4 linked regions of the Saccharomyces cerevisiae S288C genome follow. Changing the gene in region 1 together with any one later gene gives a genetic interaction. Each region holds a gene or a part of one and is shown on either strand. Other genes may lie near its edges. The genes, in order: BER1, FCF1, YAL064W and FHL1.

What was found.
Region 2: mutations in BER1 (region 1) and FCF1 together harm fitness less than expected from each alone (positive genetic interaction), as found in Saccharomyces cerevisiae (one large-scale study listed by BioGRID).
Region 3: mutations in BER1 (region 1) and YAL064W together harm fitness less than expected from each alone (positive genetic interaction), as found in Saccharomyces cerevisiae (one large-scale study listed by BioGRID).
Region 4: mutations in BER1 (region 1) and FHL1 together harm fitness more than expected from each alone (negative genetic interaction), as found in Saccharomyces cerevisiae (one large-scale study listed by BioGRID).

The regions. Positions count from the first base shown.
Region 1 is NC_001144.5:946,237-950,183, forward strand, and holds BER1 (Ber1p), read left to right. Parts: upstream 1-2,131; coding exon 2,132-2,956; downstream 2,957-3,947. Other genes in the region: high-affinity Cu transporter CTR3, read left to right, coding at 1,017-1,742.
Region 2 is NC_001136.10:1,148,685-1,152,411, forward strand, and holds FCF1 (rRNA-processing protein FCF1), read right to left. Parts: upstream 1,837-3,727; coding exon 1,267-1,836; downstream 1-1,266. Other genes in the region: YDR338C (uncharacterized protein), read right to left, coding at 1-782; YDR341C (arginine--tRNA ligase), read right to left, coding at 3,119-3,727. UniProt on the Saccharomyces cerevisiae protein: Essential protein involved in pre-rRNA processing and 40S ribosomal subunit assembly. Required for the early cleavage steps of 35S rRNA at the A(0), A(1), and A(2) sites.
Region 3 is NC_001133.9:19,255-22,705, forward strand, and holds YAL064W (uncharacterized protein), read left to right. Parts: upstream 1-2,311; coding exon 2,312-2,596; downstream 2,597-3,451. Other genes in the region: YAL063C-A (uncharacterized protein), read right to left, coding at 3,141-3,431.
Region 4 is NC_001148.4:732,841-738,547, reverse strand, and holds FHL1 (Fhl1p), read left to right. Parts: upstream 1-2,114; coding exon 2,115-4,925; downstream 4,926-5,707. Other genes in the region: Golgi transport complex subunit COG4, read left to right, coding at 1-1,564; PRE2 (proteasome core particle subunit beta 5), read right to left, coding at 5,336-5,707. UniProt on the Saccharomyces cerevisiae protein: Acts as a transcriptional regulator that recruits coactivator IFH1 to the promoters of ribosomal protein genes. Recruited to ribosomal gene promoters by RAP1.

The sequences.
Region 1 (3,947 bases):
GACAAGTTTTAGACATGACATATGAGTTAATACAATTCATGTGGGACACTAGAGATAAACAATTAATATGGCACAAAAACAAACCTACCAAGCCAGATAATAAACTAGTCGCAATAAGCGATGCTTCATATGGTAACCAACCATATTACAAGTCACAAATTGGTAACATTTTCCTACTCAACGGAAAAGTGATTGGAGGAAAGTCGACAAAGGCTTCGTTAACATGCACTTCAACTACAGAAGCAGAAATACACGCAGTCAGTGAAGCTATACCGCTATTGAATAACCTCAGTCACCTTGTGCAAGAACTTAACAAGAAACCAATTATTAAAGGCTTACTTACTGATAGTAGATCAACGATCAGTATAATTAAGTCTACAAATGAAGAGAAATTTAGAAACAGATTTTTTGGCACAAAGGCAATGAGACTTAGAGATGAAGTATCAGGTAATAATTTATACGTATACTACATCGAGACCAAGAAGAACATTGCTGATGTGATGACAAAACCTCTTCCGATAAAAACATTTAAACTATTAACAAACAAATGGATTCATTAGATCTATTACATTATGGGTGGTATGTTGGAATAAAAATCAACTATCATCTACTAACTAGTATTTACGTTACTAGTATATTATCATATACGGTGTTAGAAGATGACGCAAATGATGAGAAATAGTCATCTAAATTAGTGGAAGCTGAAACGCAAGGATTGATAATGTAATAGGATCAATGAATATTAACATATAAAATGATGATAATAATATTTATAGAATTGTGTAGAATTGCAGATTCCCTTTTATGGATTCCTAAATCCTCGAGGAGAACTTCTAGTATATCTACATACCTAATATTATTGCCTTATTAAAAATGGAATCCCAACAATTACATCAAAATCCACATTCTCTTCACTTCTCCGATAGACTTGTAATTTATCTTATTTCATTTCCTAACACTTTGATCGAAGAAGAGGGATAACAACAGACGAAAACACATTTAAGGGCTATACAAAGATGAATATGGGAGGCAGTAGCAGCACTGCTGCCAAAAAAGCGACTTGTAAAATATCGATGTTATGGAATTGGTATACCATTGACACCTGCTTCATTGCCAGATCTTGGAGAAATGACACCAAAGGAAAATTTGCTGGTTCTTGCATCGGCTGTTTTGCGCTTGTGGTGGTAGCTCAATGGCTTACTCGTTTTTCAAGGCAATTTGACGTAGAGCTATTAAAAAGACAGAAAATAAAGCATTTAGCTAGTTACTCGCCAGAGGAGTACGTTGTCAAATGTGGAGAAGAGGATGCTAAATCTGATATAGAAGAACTACAAGGCTTTTACAACGAACCAAGCTGGAAAACAACTTTAATTTCCTTACAAAAAAGTTTCATTTATAGTTTTTACGTTTGGGGTCCAAGGAGATTGAACGAGCCAGAAGACGACCTGTTAAAGAAGGTCCTATCATGCTGTACATTAATAACGCCAGTGGATTTGTACCCAACTTTTTTGGATCACATGATAAGAGTTACTATTTTCGTATTACAGTGGGGGTTATCTTATATCATCATGCTGCTGTTCATGTACTATAACGGCTATATCATTATTAGTTGTTTAATAGGTGCTATCGTTGGTCGTTTCATATTTTGCTATGAACCTCTAGGCTCATTGGGTGCTAATGGATCAGCCCAGGGTACAGTGAGTTATGATAAAGAGAGTGATGATCGCAAATGCTGCTTGTAGAAAGACAAAAATGAATAGAGGAAAGCCGAGAGGTTTGTTTCAAAAATTGACGCCTTCCTCATTTTTTTCATAATTAGCTGGTAAAAGTTACTATTTGTAACGACTGCTAAATAACAAATAATTATTCGTGTAAAAATAAATAGCTAATACCACCAGGTGTTCATATTCCATGACTGCATATTTGGGAAACGAGACGGTTTGAACATCCTTAGTTGATGTAAAACTATAATAAAAGCTCTATGGGAAGTAAACTATCTGCGGGTCGGGTAAGGAATGATGCTTGCTCGACGTGTAGCGATGAAAAAAGTGAAAACTTATTTGAACTCTAGAAAACTGCTAAGATCCTGAACTGATACCGAAGTTAATGACCTTGACCGGTCTTCTGCTGTATGGATTTTAAAGCAAGTGGGACAAAGTTTAAGAAAACTGGCAAGAAGGTAGTGCCTGCTAAAGCGTTTGAAGAAATTGTTCAGACAAATAGAGATGTTCTGAAAAAATCAGCATTCCTCTCAGATTTACTTGAAAATTTACAACCGCACCTCAATAACATTAAGAAAATACGATGTGTTGCAATTGGAAATTTCAAGGAGGATTTTCCTGCGACGTACCAATTCGCTCTTCTCCTAGAGATTACTGATTATATAAAAAGTGAGGATGAAAGGGATGTCGTTGTTTCCCTGTATGATCCAATATTTACTAAAGAAGAGATACAGTACTTGAAAAGTTTAGGAAGCAAATGGCTGATAGAGGAAGAATTTTCAGAGAACGATGCAATTGATTATGAATCGGTATTATATTTCCTTCCCCATGCTCCTTTGGATTTAACTGAGAACATACTATCGTCACAGCGACCACACTTATGGCTGGCAAATAATATGATATCACACACCGATAGATACACCAAAGCAAAACTTTGTGAAAACTATCCTAATTTAAGCAAGCTAGTTCATTACTTGCAGACTAACGCTCCGCCAGAAGTTAAAAAAGCACATGATGTAGATGGTTTTGCAACATTCATTCCAAAGAGAAAAAGAAAAAACAGAAACAACTCCTCTAAACTCAAGGTCACACCATCTGATATAGACTATGATTCAATAGCACCGAAGTTTAAGTCCTGCCAAATACTCACCGATTTTGATGAAGGAAAGTATTTGAAGGAAAAACCCTGGATCAATTCCTTCTCTGACTTGACGTTACATGCTATAGAGTACTAACATATCATTCACTACATAGTACTTTATAACTAAACTGTAACCTTTCAGGGCATCGTAACCTGACGCTTTACCATCAATAACGACACGAGACCGCTTTATCTATGATACTGGAACAATCAACATGATTGTTATAAATGTACTCGACAGGATCATGAAAGGATACCAACTTAGTTGCCGGTTCATTGAAATGGAAAGCTCAAGAACGTATACTGAAAGAGAGCGACGTCTACTTTGCCCACAAAAATCTACTCTCTGAATTGAATAGTATTTAGAGATTGCATAATTCAAGCCCTCCTCGAGGAAAGGATATAAATGAAAATACCGTTTTTCCTGCTGATGGTTATCGTCCCTGTCAAGGATACTTCTCGGACTCGAACAACGTTACAGCTCAACTTAAAGAAGGCTAAATACGACAAGGGCGCTTGCCCTAAGAGGAACTGTTTCTAAGTTCTAACGAGTGCCTGCGAAGATCGGTTTTTTTTAACTTCGCGGGCGAATTGATAAATAAAGTTCTTCTTGCAATTTTTTAAGATCAAGGTTGGGGCAAAAAGGACGCAAACGAATGGTTGGGTTAAGAAAGTGGAAAGACCCAAACCTGAAGTTCATTTAGTTCTTGGCGGAATGAATCATTCGAACGGCGCAATACGCTCGTCAAAGAAGGAGGTATGATTTATGACGGTTTGTGGGTAGCCCTCTAAACACGTGGAGAGTAACCTTTTCTGTTTAGCGATCCTAGAACTGCGAACAATGGTAGCTATTCGCTTACTCAACAATATTGTTCTTGATTAATGCATTCAAATATGTAACTTCGTCCCTCATATAAGCGTCTGACGCGTCGTGAAAATTTACCCTCTCAAGAAAATACAAGAGATTACGTAAAATTAGAAACCAAAAGATATGAGTGGAACAGACACATATCACCCATATTTCCTTTTCACGTAAGAAAACTTAAGTACTAGTGCGGTGCCTGCGTTAGTGCTTGTCTTTAGGT
Region 2 (3,727 bases), on another chromosome or scaffold:
CCTAAGTGGCCCACAGTTAATGAACATACCATAGGGAAAATCTGTTCCAATAAGAATGTGAAAATTAGAGGGAAGGAATAAGATGCCAAAACTCTTGCTTCTGATTTGAAGGTGACGTGGCTGTGAGCCAATTCTGCTAGTGCCTCAGAATCGTTCTCGTCGATCTCTTGGTAAATTGTGGGAACTGAGCCTCGGCTAGTCACAGATACGAATGATGGTCTTCTGTGATGTGAGGTGCCTTTAGCGTCTGTTACCGCACTTCGAGTTAATTTCTGTTTCTGAGCTTGGAGTCTATTCATAAATTCGTCATATTCTAGTTCTCTTCCAGAATATTCTTGTATTCTATCTGGTGTGTTGCTTTGACTTGCTTCCTCATTATCAGAGTTGCATACCGATGAGTATCGTCGTTCATGTTCATGTAGAATCCAATCAACATCTTGTGGCGAAAGCTCAGGAGTTTCTGATACCCTTGATGGTAGAGAAATCGTTCTGCTCAGTTCGCCATCTTCTTCATCATGATAGTAAAGGTCAGGTTCCTCATCAATATTACCTAAGTACGGATTTGGTTCATGGACGTTACTTCCAAAATCATCTGTTAAAGATCTGAAACTCCTCTGATCAATATTTCTCGTTCTTGCACGAAATTTTCGTACCAGAGGATTCTTCTTGTTGGGAGGTAGGAAGCCTAGCGATATCCTCCTGTGAGTGTTACCGATACCCATACCATTTGTTCGGAGGGAAGGATGCACTTCTGAAAGAGTCTTTGACAAAATTCCAGCCATTTTTTCAACCTTTTTTTTATCCGTATATATTAAGGTATGCTATATGTGTATTTTCCAATGTTTAGTTTTTATAATAATACTTCTTCAGCATCAAATATGCTTGCTTATGTAAAAATACAATCAAGTTTTGTCCCTTGCTTGCGCGAAGATGAAAACTTCCTTAAGAAATATTCTGCATCGCGTGGAACCCATGGAAGAGGATAATAGCTGACAGTGATATTATGAAAAGATGCCAAATGGTTACCGTTTATAACTGTTACTGGTCGCGTCTCAAACGCCCTCTTTTTTCTCCTTGCATTTGCGTTTCTTTAGAGCAATTATTGAGTAAATGGTCTTGAAAAGAAATAGAAATATCCTTAGGCATTTCAGTTCATCTGAAAACATGCTCCAATACGGGCAAACCATGAACTTGTTGTTATGAAATTAATATACATATAAACCAAAAACATTGCACTACATACTTAAAGAGTGAATACACAGTAGTTTAAAAGACATCTGGCAATTTTTCAATGACGTATGCGTGACCGCCTACGCTCATCAAAGGAATTCCAGGGATTTTTCTAATTCTTTGTTTCAGGCCGGCATCGTTTGTAGCTACGATGTAACACTTATGTTGTAAGACTCGATGCACTAAACAGTCATCCGCGTACGTACCCTTGTGCGAACAGCTTAGTCTCTTTATTCTAGGATCTCGAGCCAGTTTCAAGGCGATACGGTACTTGGGGCCCAATTTTTCTAACTCTGCCATCACACAATCTGTGATTAACGGGTTACATTTTGCGAGTAGACAGTCCATCATTCCTCTAACAATATCGACTTTTTTCTGGATAGAAAAATTTATAAAATTGGTATCTATCAGTACTTGATAAGGTGGCTTTATAGCTTGATTGTATTGAAAGAAAAGTGCACTTGATACTTGTGGTATATTCCTGGTTAGCTCAGGGTCTTCTTTAGTTTTGATATTTTCCTGGTTTTTCTTCAATCTTTGGTCTTTCTTGGTGTTCAAAGTTCTTTTTACGAGGCCAAACTTTCTTGTTTTCTTAGCTTTACCCATAATTAACTGTTGTAGTATATCGATATTTCCGTTACAAGTCACTGTTATTGTGTGTTAATGCACAGTAATGTTTAAAGAGGCATCATTCAAGAATAGTAGCAAGCTGAAAAATTTTAGCCGTTCATAATGATACCTTTAGAAATATGCCAAATTTTTTTGTTATATCTTCCAGTAGGAACCGATAGTTTGAGTAATGTTTATAAAATCATTGCAAGTGAATAAGCAATTAATGGCAATAGTCCACAAACGATAGGTACATGAAGGTGGCTCACAATCAAAAAAATCAAGCTTTAAAATAGTGGATGTAGAAAAAATAAAGTGCGTCACAGACAGGATTCGAACCTGCGCAGGTAAAACCCAATGCCTAATTGCTTTTCTGAGGAAATAGCAGGCATCGCCTTAACCACTCGGCCACTGGGACTGAAACACTTTGAAGTGAAAGTGTTTCTAGTTTTCTATATCATTACTATGGTGAAAATCTATATTTTCTTGATTAGGAATAAAATCATGGAAAGAAGTGTTGGAATAAAAATTCACTATCGTCTGTCAACTAATAGTTATAGTATCAATATACTATCATATACGGTGTTAGATTATGACATAAGTTATGAGAAGCTGTCATCGAAGTTAGGGGAAGCTGAAGTGCAAGGATTGATAATGTAATAGGATAATGAAACATATAAAACGGAATGAGGAATAATCGTAATATTAGTGTATAGAAATATAGATTCCATTTTGGGATTCCTATATCCTCGAGGAGAATTTCTAGTATATTCTGTATACCTAATATTATAGCCTTTATCGACAATGGAATCCCAACAATTATCTCAAAATTCACCCAATTCTCAATTTGATAATTGTTGGGATTCCATTGTAAAGAAAATCGGTATTTCTACATTATAATATTACGATTATTTCTCCTTTTGTTTTTTATGGTTTTCATTACCCTATCACATTATCAATCTTTATATTTCAGATTCCATTAAATTTGATAACTTGGTTGATAGATGACAGTTAATTCTTTTTCCAATAGAAACAACGAAGACTTTTTTCTTACTTTTTGTTGATGTTTTTCAAGTTCTGTTTGACCCGTATTTTTCTACGTTAAAATCGTGATTACTTTACGAATCTTGTTTTCTTATTTTTTTTCGATCTATTTAATGAAATGTGGACAATGGCCCCTAACAAAAAGATGGCAAGGATTGAAATAATCCGTTTATACAATTTATATCCAATTATAGAAATAAAACACATTTGAAGAATGGCTTGGTGGAAAAGTTTATTACATTCTTTCTACGGGAGTTAAACCTAACAAGCGCATACCGTTGTATAAAACTTGTCTTGCAGCACCATATAGAGCCAGACGGGCAGTTGCTAATTCTTCAGTTTGACCAGCAACCCATAAGACGTCATAACAAGAAGAAACCTGGTGAGTCAATTTGAATAAATATGTGACCACGGTTGTTGGCTCGTGGGTTTTGATTGCATTTCTCAAAACATCGGGGTATTGGCCTAGCAGTCTAATCAACAGTTTTGCGGCAGGTTCTTTTAATAACGAAAAATCGGCATTTATCCATTTTTCTTGGGTGATACCAGAAGCATTTCTTTCAACTGATCTTAACCTTGAGTGAGCATATTGAAGGTATGGACCAGTGTCACCTTCGAATGAAAGCATTCTTTCCCATTTAAACTCGTAGTTGTTGATACGCTTACCTTGCATATCTTGAATCATGACGGCAGAGATACCAACTAAATCGGCAACTTCTTCTGGATGCTCAATTTGCGCGTATTTGTTCTCATTCTTTTTCATAACTTCGTGCATTTTTTCCTTAGTTTCCTCCAAGATATTATCTAAGAAGACAACAGTACCTTTTCTTGTTGACATACCTTG
Region 3 (3,451 bases), on another chromosome or scaffold:
AACTAGTATGTTTTTGTCAAAATATTTTCTTGACCTTGCTGTAACATCAAGATCTGTTTCTCTAAGATATTAAAGTTGAGTAAAAACAAAGCTGATATGAGAAAAATACGTAATTGCTCCACATAATACGTGGGTCAGACATAAAGGTAGAATACTTGATACAGAAGAGATTATTCGGTACTCTTGATGGCGTGCTTGAACTGGTGCCTCTTAACAACCGGTAATATAGTCAGATGAGTCACTACGAGTGTGTGTAGTAGCAAGTGTTTTACCTACGTGGCAGTAAGAGTAGCTCTATGGTTGTGTAATAGTGGTGCTTATTCCTAATGCTCTGAAGTCTGAAGCGGTACAGTTGGTCTGGTCTATATCATGGTCAAAGGAGCAAACATATCTTCTGAAGTGACCGCAAATAGTACTATGATGTGGTTGGCAATATAACTTAAAAGGAAATAACCACAAGGAATTGCACCCATGTACACAGTTTTTCCCGGAAATTGGGAAACCAGTACGAACATATATCAATTACTTTTACATTATCTTGATTGGAAAACTGGCACAATTGACTGTGACGTTAGTAGTATGTTGTTCTTCTCTACATCAGTTAAATATACGTGTCAACATCAACTAATCAACTTTCCCCCGTTTACCACATTGAAGCTGGGTGTGGAAGATTTATTTGAAGAAACTAAAACGTACCCTGTCATTTCCTGAGTCCCCTTTCAACTTAGTGTGAAAGCCGAACAATTATAATCCTCGGTAGACAACAGATTTATTGTACTAAAGTTACTCTTCCTGTTATCTTCCTTGATTTTACTGTTATAGCAATGACCCACCGCAATCAGGAGAGCCGCCGTATGGAATAGCATACCAAGTCATAAAATCGTCAACCTATTAACGGGGTTCAGGTTCTTTTTCAGCGTAGTAGCCCTTTAACAAGCGCTGACAAAGTTGACACTCAGAGAAAATTCAGGATTTATTGTAATCCAGCTACTCATCCTTAGATCCGCTTGCAGGCATGGTTTTTTTCACCTTGAGAGGCTATTTTGGGTAAGCCAGGAAGGCTGAAAAATCCCAAAAGGACACAGTAATAAGAAATTGTTGTTGTTGTATGATGCATTTAGAACTCAAAAGACGAGTTTCTGAAAATGCTTACAATACTCCATAGGTAACATGATTTTTTTATTAAAAAAGTATACTGTTCCTTTGGGTAAAAATTATGCAACCCTTGAGTGTCCGATGAAGATAAGACTACGAAACAATTTGCGGTAAATTTTTTCTGCTATTGACATTTACACATGCTCCAATCCATTACCCTTTCCATTCTCGTAATAAAACCTCGAACTGTTATTTCATATTTACATCTAGACGGGTATCGGCCTCAACAACTCCAAACAAAAGTAAATAGAAAAGAGCCAGACCTATCGCACCGGGTAGAGCCAGAAAATATTTTAAACTATAGTTGACGTATTCTACGGCTGTTGTTTAGGACAATACTTTTTCCTTCACAGGCTTCGAATTACGCACATGCAGAACTCCTGTAGAAACCACGAAGAAAAGTTTAATTAACTTTCAAATGCCAGAACTAAAGATTGATGAAACAGTTATACGAATTTAAGGGGAACTTGCTTTTTCCTTTTGCTTCATCATAAGCGCAATATTCGCAGCGGTGGCGTCGCGTCTTACCATTTATCGGCACATTTTTCCGAAAAGGAAGGAAAATGGCGGTGTCAAACGGTCTGGTGTGACATCTAGAAGTTCGGCATTGCAAGTTAATCTACGGGAAAAAGAAAATTTTCTTATAACCCTAATGTATAATAAGGTTTTCGGAGAAAGCAACTCACGGGGAACAATTGGTTAGAAGAGACCGTAGAAGCGCCCCACTAACCTGGAGTTGATTATCGAGGATCTTTCTCAGAAAAGCAGCTAATAAATGAGCACAGTACTCAAAAATTACTCATAGTATTATAATTACTTACTTAGTCAATATGGCTGCGCTTTTAAAATGAGTATCTTTTATTTTTTGACAAGGAAGAAAAAGATGCAAGCAAAGAGAAATTTACTAAGTACAAGCTCATTTCCAAAAATTCAGTTTGCCTGTAACAATGGGTAGCGATCTTCAACATATGGGATTATGCCTTGAATGAGATTTTTGAACGTAGAGGAAAAAATCGCAGACAGGCTTTATTGTGCTGTTTGACATAGTATACTCAGCCGTTGTGGTGTTAATGAATACTATCGATGTGTATACAAACGTACTTCAAATAAGCAATGCGAATATACTGCAACTTTTCGGCCTTTGCAACGATTTGTAATGAATCCTTTTGCATCGCTAGAAGGACAAGATAATATTTCTTCTGTTTTTTTTTTACATATGCAACAATTTGAAAGTCAGGTCAAAGACAGATTCCGGTTCCCCATATTCAGATTGGAGAGAAAAACTTTTGGCAACTCATGTTACCAAGTCGAGACGCTTAAAGTTAAGTGTCGGCCAAGACACGCAAAATCTTGTAATCTTTTAACGCTGCTCTTCAAATCACGGACGCAATCAGTACTTGTACCTAATTTTGGTTTTCTAATATTGAATAGCGAACCATAGGTCGAAAATTTAAGGCCACATAAATCCAGAGCCCGCAACTTGGATAGGTATTTACTTGATTTTTAGTTTGCTTTCAATAGTGTCGTGAAATTATAAAGTACGCCGCATATATATCTTGATTAGTTAAAAATAGCAGTGTTCAATGATGATTTGATAGGGTTCATAACTGGTACCAGCGTAGTACAATTACGATTATCCATGAACATAAAAGTGGTTTAAGTACTATATATCAGTGAAGCTTCAAAGTAAGCAAACGAGATACCAAGATCTTGTAGGACCACGATATATAAGAAGCCTAGTTCCGTTGTAGCATCACATAGAAGAGAGCGACAATGCCTCAGAAATTCTACAGCAACAGAAAGCACAGTGAGTCATTAACTGTTGGAATAAGACTCAACTGCGAGCTATCGACTAGTACTTATATTACTAGTATATTATATACGGTGTGAAAAGACGACATGAAGATTGAGGAAATGGTCCCAAGATCTAATGGACACTGAAATGCAAAAGTTGATAATGTAACATGAAAATTAAGGACAGCATATTAAACAGAAGAGGAAATAATGGTATTTTTACATAGAGATATGAATTTCCCTTTTTCTTTGTTCCTATATCTCTGATAATAAGTTATAATATACTTTGTGCATCTTATATCATGCCTTTTCAACAATGAAATATCAGCAGTTATCAAAGCATTCGCCAAATTTTTATTAATAAAACAAATGTCAGAAATATGGCCGGAATCTAATCTGAAAGTTAAAATAATTCTTACGATATTCTTATCATAAAACCAATGATTAATGTTTATGATGAGCAAAACTGTGCGAGGGCACATACATACAGTGGGACCTCATG
Region 4 (5,707 bases), on another chromosome or scaffold:
GAATGAAGATGTGAATATAGACAGTAATCAGTCGGATATCGAAACAGACGGAGAAACGGAAAAGAGCTCAATTATATCCATTCATGACTTGGCATTATTGATAATGGAATTTTCTCAAATACTTCAAAATTGGTCCATGTATTCTAGATTTTATTCAGTTAAATGGAATGAATTTAGCGATTTGCATCCGCATGTATTGCAACCACCTCCACCAATAGCAGATGGTAAATTTGCCTTAAAGTTAAAGCAAGATAAGGTCTTTGATGAGTTTCAGGTGTTTGTGTTGAACCATCTGCAGAGATCATTTAGAAATAGTATTTCACTAGAAGAATTACCGTCACTGAACGATCTTATAACTGCTGTTCCCCTCAATGACCACGATAACATTTCATACCCTGTAACATCTGTTTTAGATGACTTAATTTTATTAGTTCGGAAAAATCTGATATCAGTGGTTAATACTGGCCAGTTTAAGCTCTTAGCAAGTTTTTTGAACGAGTTGGTAAAATTTTTTCAGAACCGATTTCTGGTAAAATTTATGCAAAACAAATTTAAGTTACTACAATCGAAACTAGCCTCCAATGTATCTTTGAAAAGATACATTCCAAAAGGTGAGGAGCAATCTGCAACATCAAGATCGGTTTCTCCACCTGCAAATAAGTTTTCTCCGCTAAGCAGGTTCACTTTTAGAGGGGCAGCAGCTAGCGCTTTGACAAATATTCAATCAAATTTACAAGCCGTAGTTGCAGAGGACGAGGATTCCATTCTTGCGTTGCACCATTATTTGATATATCTGAACACGTTGTACTTGAGTAAAGTATACGTTCACAGGCTGTTATCCATAGAAATATTAGAAGACGATTCGCAAAGGATTTTGAGAGACAATTTCCCTTTTGACAATGATGCAGCGCAGTTACAGAATTTAATTATAAACTCAGAAAAATTAGTCCTGGAACAAACAGATAAGCTAAGCAAATGGGCTGTCAAATACTTGTTCCAAAATATCCTACAAAATAGGGTTCGGAACTTATTGGGAACTGTTTTTGTTAATTCAGCCTCATCAAATTCCTCAACGTCCAATCAAAAAAATGTGTCTCGCGATTATTCTGCAGGTTCGAACCAAAAGAATTACATCACAAGCATAGAAGATTTCGAAGATTTGTCGCAAATTAACAGTTTCAATAGCAAATGGAACCAATTGATTATCCCTTACAAAAATATTCTTCACAACGAAGCATATGCAGAGTTGCTATCTGTCATAGTCGACTACATCGTAACAACATTGGAGCAAAGAATATGGACTCTAGAATTCAATGAACTTGGTGTTACGAAATTAGATAGAGAACTGAGCCTTTTCATCGGCAATATGTGTGGCTTGAACTATAATCTCAGAGAGAAGTTCTTGAAATTGACACAAATCGTGTTGCTTCTCGGTTTAGATGATGACAATTTTGATTTGACTACAGGTGATATCAAGGATGACTTCAATGGTACTTTCGATTGGGTGATAAACTCTCAGGAAAGAATTAAAGCTAGAAATATGAAGATTGATAGAACACAGTAAATATAACATAAGCTTTACGAGCTGAATACTAAGTAGTTTCATATAAACGCAAACATAATCTTGGCTGTTGTACCTTTTCTGCATACTCTTGACTGTTAATACATTTCTTATTTTTCTTATGAAAGAGCACAACATGATAGCGCCATACTATCATTCTGAACGTTGCGATTAACTGGAAATTACGAAGACTAAGACAAGAAAAATTAAAAGCGTTAATAAAAAATAAACAAAGGAACCTTTGAAATATATTCCGTCACCAAGCTAAGAAAGGAGTAGCTCTTTCTCTAAGGCCAACTTTGTCATCCTTTGAGTTAGTTTAAAGTCTATTAATATTTGCTATTATCTTCTGGGCTGGATAAATAGGACTTTTCTATTGGCACATTTTTTTCTCTTGTAGAAGGTCATCACGAATATTAATTTTGTATTTGAAAGCATTTTATTTTCTCCTTTTTTTATTACCATAATATACCTGGTACTGGTTTTTACCTGATTTAACGTCTAGCCGCTCAAAACAAAAACCCACTCATATCTATACAAATATAAGAATAAGATGGATGGGGAAATGGCAATAATAGAAAGCAGCAATCATGTCGGGACTTCATCGCCTACCACTGAAACACAGTTTACTATAGATTCTTCCGCATTGAAAGACCAAGAAACCAAAGAAAGCATAACAAATTCACCGACAAGCGAGGTACCGATTGAAACAAAACTACCAAAAAGTTCTGATATAGTAACAGAGGAAAAACATCCTCAAAACACGACTACTGATATTGAAAACGAGGTAGAGAATCCTGTTACAGACGATAATGGAAATTTGAAACTTGAATTACCTGATAACCTTGATAACGCTGATTTTTCGAAGCTACTGGAATTTGATGCAAAAAATGATGAAGCTCTGTTCAACTCAAATGAGTTGTTATCCCACACCATGGATCCTGTAAATAACATCGATTTAACTCATGATCACAGCAGGGAGGTTTCATCAAAAGAAGATATCAATATAGAGCCAGTAAACCCTGATGAGGACGAAAGGGAGAAAACTCAAGATAACACAGCAGCAGTGAAAACTGAAGGCATAAGGAACTCAGAAGATACAAGTATACAAAAGGATGAACCCACTGCTGATGCTATATACACAGATGTGCATAAATTATCAGTAAACAAAGATACCGAGACCCTACCAACATTAGTAGATGAAAAAAACAACATGCTGCATATGAGAAACAATTCAATAACGCCAATAATGTTTCAGCAGCATGAATTAGTGGGACAACCGCCACAAAACACTGTAACGGAAAATAATAGTACAGATGCTGAAACTACCCAACGAAAACTATCTGAGCCAATCGATGCAAGTTTACCGCTACCGAATGAACAACCGACTATCTTCGCCTATGCAAGGCTGGACTTTCAAAGTTTCACATTTTATGTACAAACATTACATGCAATAATCGGAAGGAGGTCTGAGAATGACTTCTCCCACAAAGTTGACGTTAATCTTGGTCCTTCAAAATCAATATCGAGGAGACACGCCCAGATTTTTTACAATTTTGGGACAGGAAGGTTCGAATTGTCCATAATAGGGAAGAATGGTGCTTTTGTGGATGACATTTTCGTTGAAAAAGGAAATACTGTGCCACTTCGTAATAAGACAAAAATTCAAATTGGACAAATTCCATTTCAATTTATTTTACCAGAACAAGAACGTAACGACGATAGCAAAAGCCCAGAAAACGCTGACATAGCAGAATCTGAAATAAATACAAGAAATCTCAAAAAAAACGAGCCCAAATCTAAGAAAAAGATTACAACTGGAGCAAAGCCCAAGAAAGCGCAGACCAAACCAGCTGTTAAGAAAGAAAAGAAGCCACCGAAAATACCAAAGAAAGTATATACTTTGGAGGAGATTCCAGTAGAATATAGAACGAAACCTACTGTATCTTACTCTGCTATGCTAACTACTTGCATACGAAAGTACTCGACTGCCAAGGGAATGTCTTTATCTGAAATTTATGCAGGAATAAGAGAACTCTTCCCCTATTATAAATACTGTCCTGATGGGTGGCAAAGCTCGGTAAGACACAACTTATCGCTAAATAAATCTTTCAGGAAGGTTTCTAAAGAAGGCAAAGGATGGTTATGGGGTCTTGATGAAGAATATATTGCAGAGAGGGAACGACAGAAAAAGAAACAAAGTGAGATAGCTGTGGCAAAGGCACAAGCTGCACAATTAAAACTTGAACAGCAACAGCACAAACTTCAGCAAGTGCCGCAGAGGGGCAAAAAAGATATTGTTTCGCAGAGATCTAACGTTAATGCGAGAAAACAAAACATCTCACAAACTCTTGCAGCAAACAGAGCCGCCTCGAACAGGAAAAATACAGCAAGTGATAATCAAAGGACAATGAAATATCTGCAGGAACAGCTTGTCATTTTAACACGAGATAGAAAGGGTTTATCGAAGCAGGTCATCGCTGCAATTTTGACGCAGGCTCTAGCTATGACAATAAATCAGGTTACACAAGCGGCAAAAAACAAGGGGATTACTGGTAATCCACTTACAGCCTTGATGGACAAGAATCCTCAGCATTTGAATCTAATTTTAGCAGCTGCTGTAAACGCGGCAACTGCAAAAGTCACAAAAGGTGAGGTAAAGCAATTAGTGAACCCTGAAACTACAGCGGCGGCGGCTTTAGCAGCTAAGGCACAGCATTCCAAACCGATACGCCAACCAATAGTCCAGACGCCGCATGTACCAGATAGGCCTCCATCTCAGTTATCTGCGTCGGCATCATCCCATCCCAATAATTACTTGCATGATAAACAACCGGGATCGTTTGATCCTTCGTCCTTGTCTCGATTTTTTCAACCGAGACAAAATGCTAGGGCTACATCCTCTGTGGCAGCTACGTCAGTTCCGGCGGCTGCTTCTCAAAATGTTGATGCACAACCCAAACCTAAGCCTGCACAGGACAACGACTTAGAAAGTGAAAGCGGCACTAGTAGTAGTAGCAGTTCCAGTAGTGAGAGCGGAAGCGAGAGCGATAGTGGTAGCGATGACGGTAGTGCTAGTGGAAGCGGCGATAATAGCAGCACTAGTAGTGAAAGCGAAAGCGAAAGTGATAGTGGAAGCGAAGTAGATGAAAAGAACAACAAAAACGAAAAGATCGATAGTGAAAGTATTAAAAACAACGAATCTAAAGATGATATTCCATCTAAAGACGAGAATAGTAGCAATGATAATCGCGAGATTTCAAAAACCGACGAAGAAGGTCATGATTCTAAAAGGCGGAAGGTCAGCGAGGATATCAACGAGGGTATCACTGAAGTAAATGTATCCCTTGAGGAAAAACTTTAAAAAATTTCGATAATAGTATTAGCATATTCGAAGTAGAAGCATAAATCTTTTCATAAAGATAGATCGGATCAAGCCATAGTAATAGGTATGAATCTATGCGTCCTATTCTGTTTTGCGTTGTTGAGATTCAGTCTTCGATTTTTACAAAATTTTCCATCGGGTCGCCTCTACAACTACTTATTCACTTCGTTTGATTTCGGGTTTCACTTTTTGTTTGCATTGATGGCGTCTGTCCTCATATTACCGAACAATACTTAAAGATATAATTATATAAAAATATATAGATGTGATGATTGGAAACATGAGAACTGGACTTCCTTCATAATTCTATGGGAAGCCATATTGGATCCTTGAAGAGAATAATGTATCATTAATATAGATGTGCATATACATATGTTTGATGCTTCTATTTAGCCAATAACGTTGTTGAAAGATCCTTCCTCTTCCTTGACCTTCCAAAATAGTTCACCTACGTCATGATTACCGTGATATATCCAACCATCCTCGGTAACATGATATAAATTTACAGAACCACCAGAGTAAGCATCTCTATGGGCAGCAGCTAAAATAGATCTCTTACCTAGATATAAAGCATCTTCAACGGATAAATCCCATTTATAGTTAGAGTCTAGAACACCATATGCAAATGTTTGACCTGAACCAACGCAGAATATGTCACCTTTTAATCTTGTACCGTCTGAGTCGACGTAATAAATGGTTGGGCCCTCCTTCCTAGTGTAACCACAGATCATAGTACCCATTGATAAACCGGCCCCTTTATA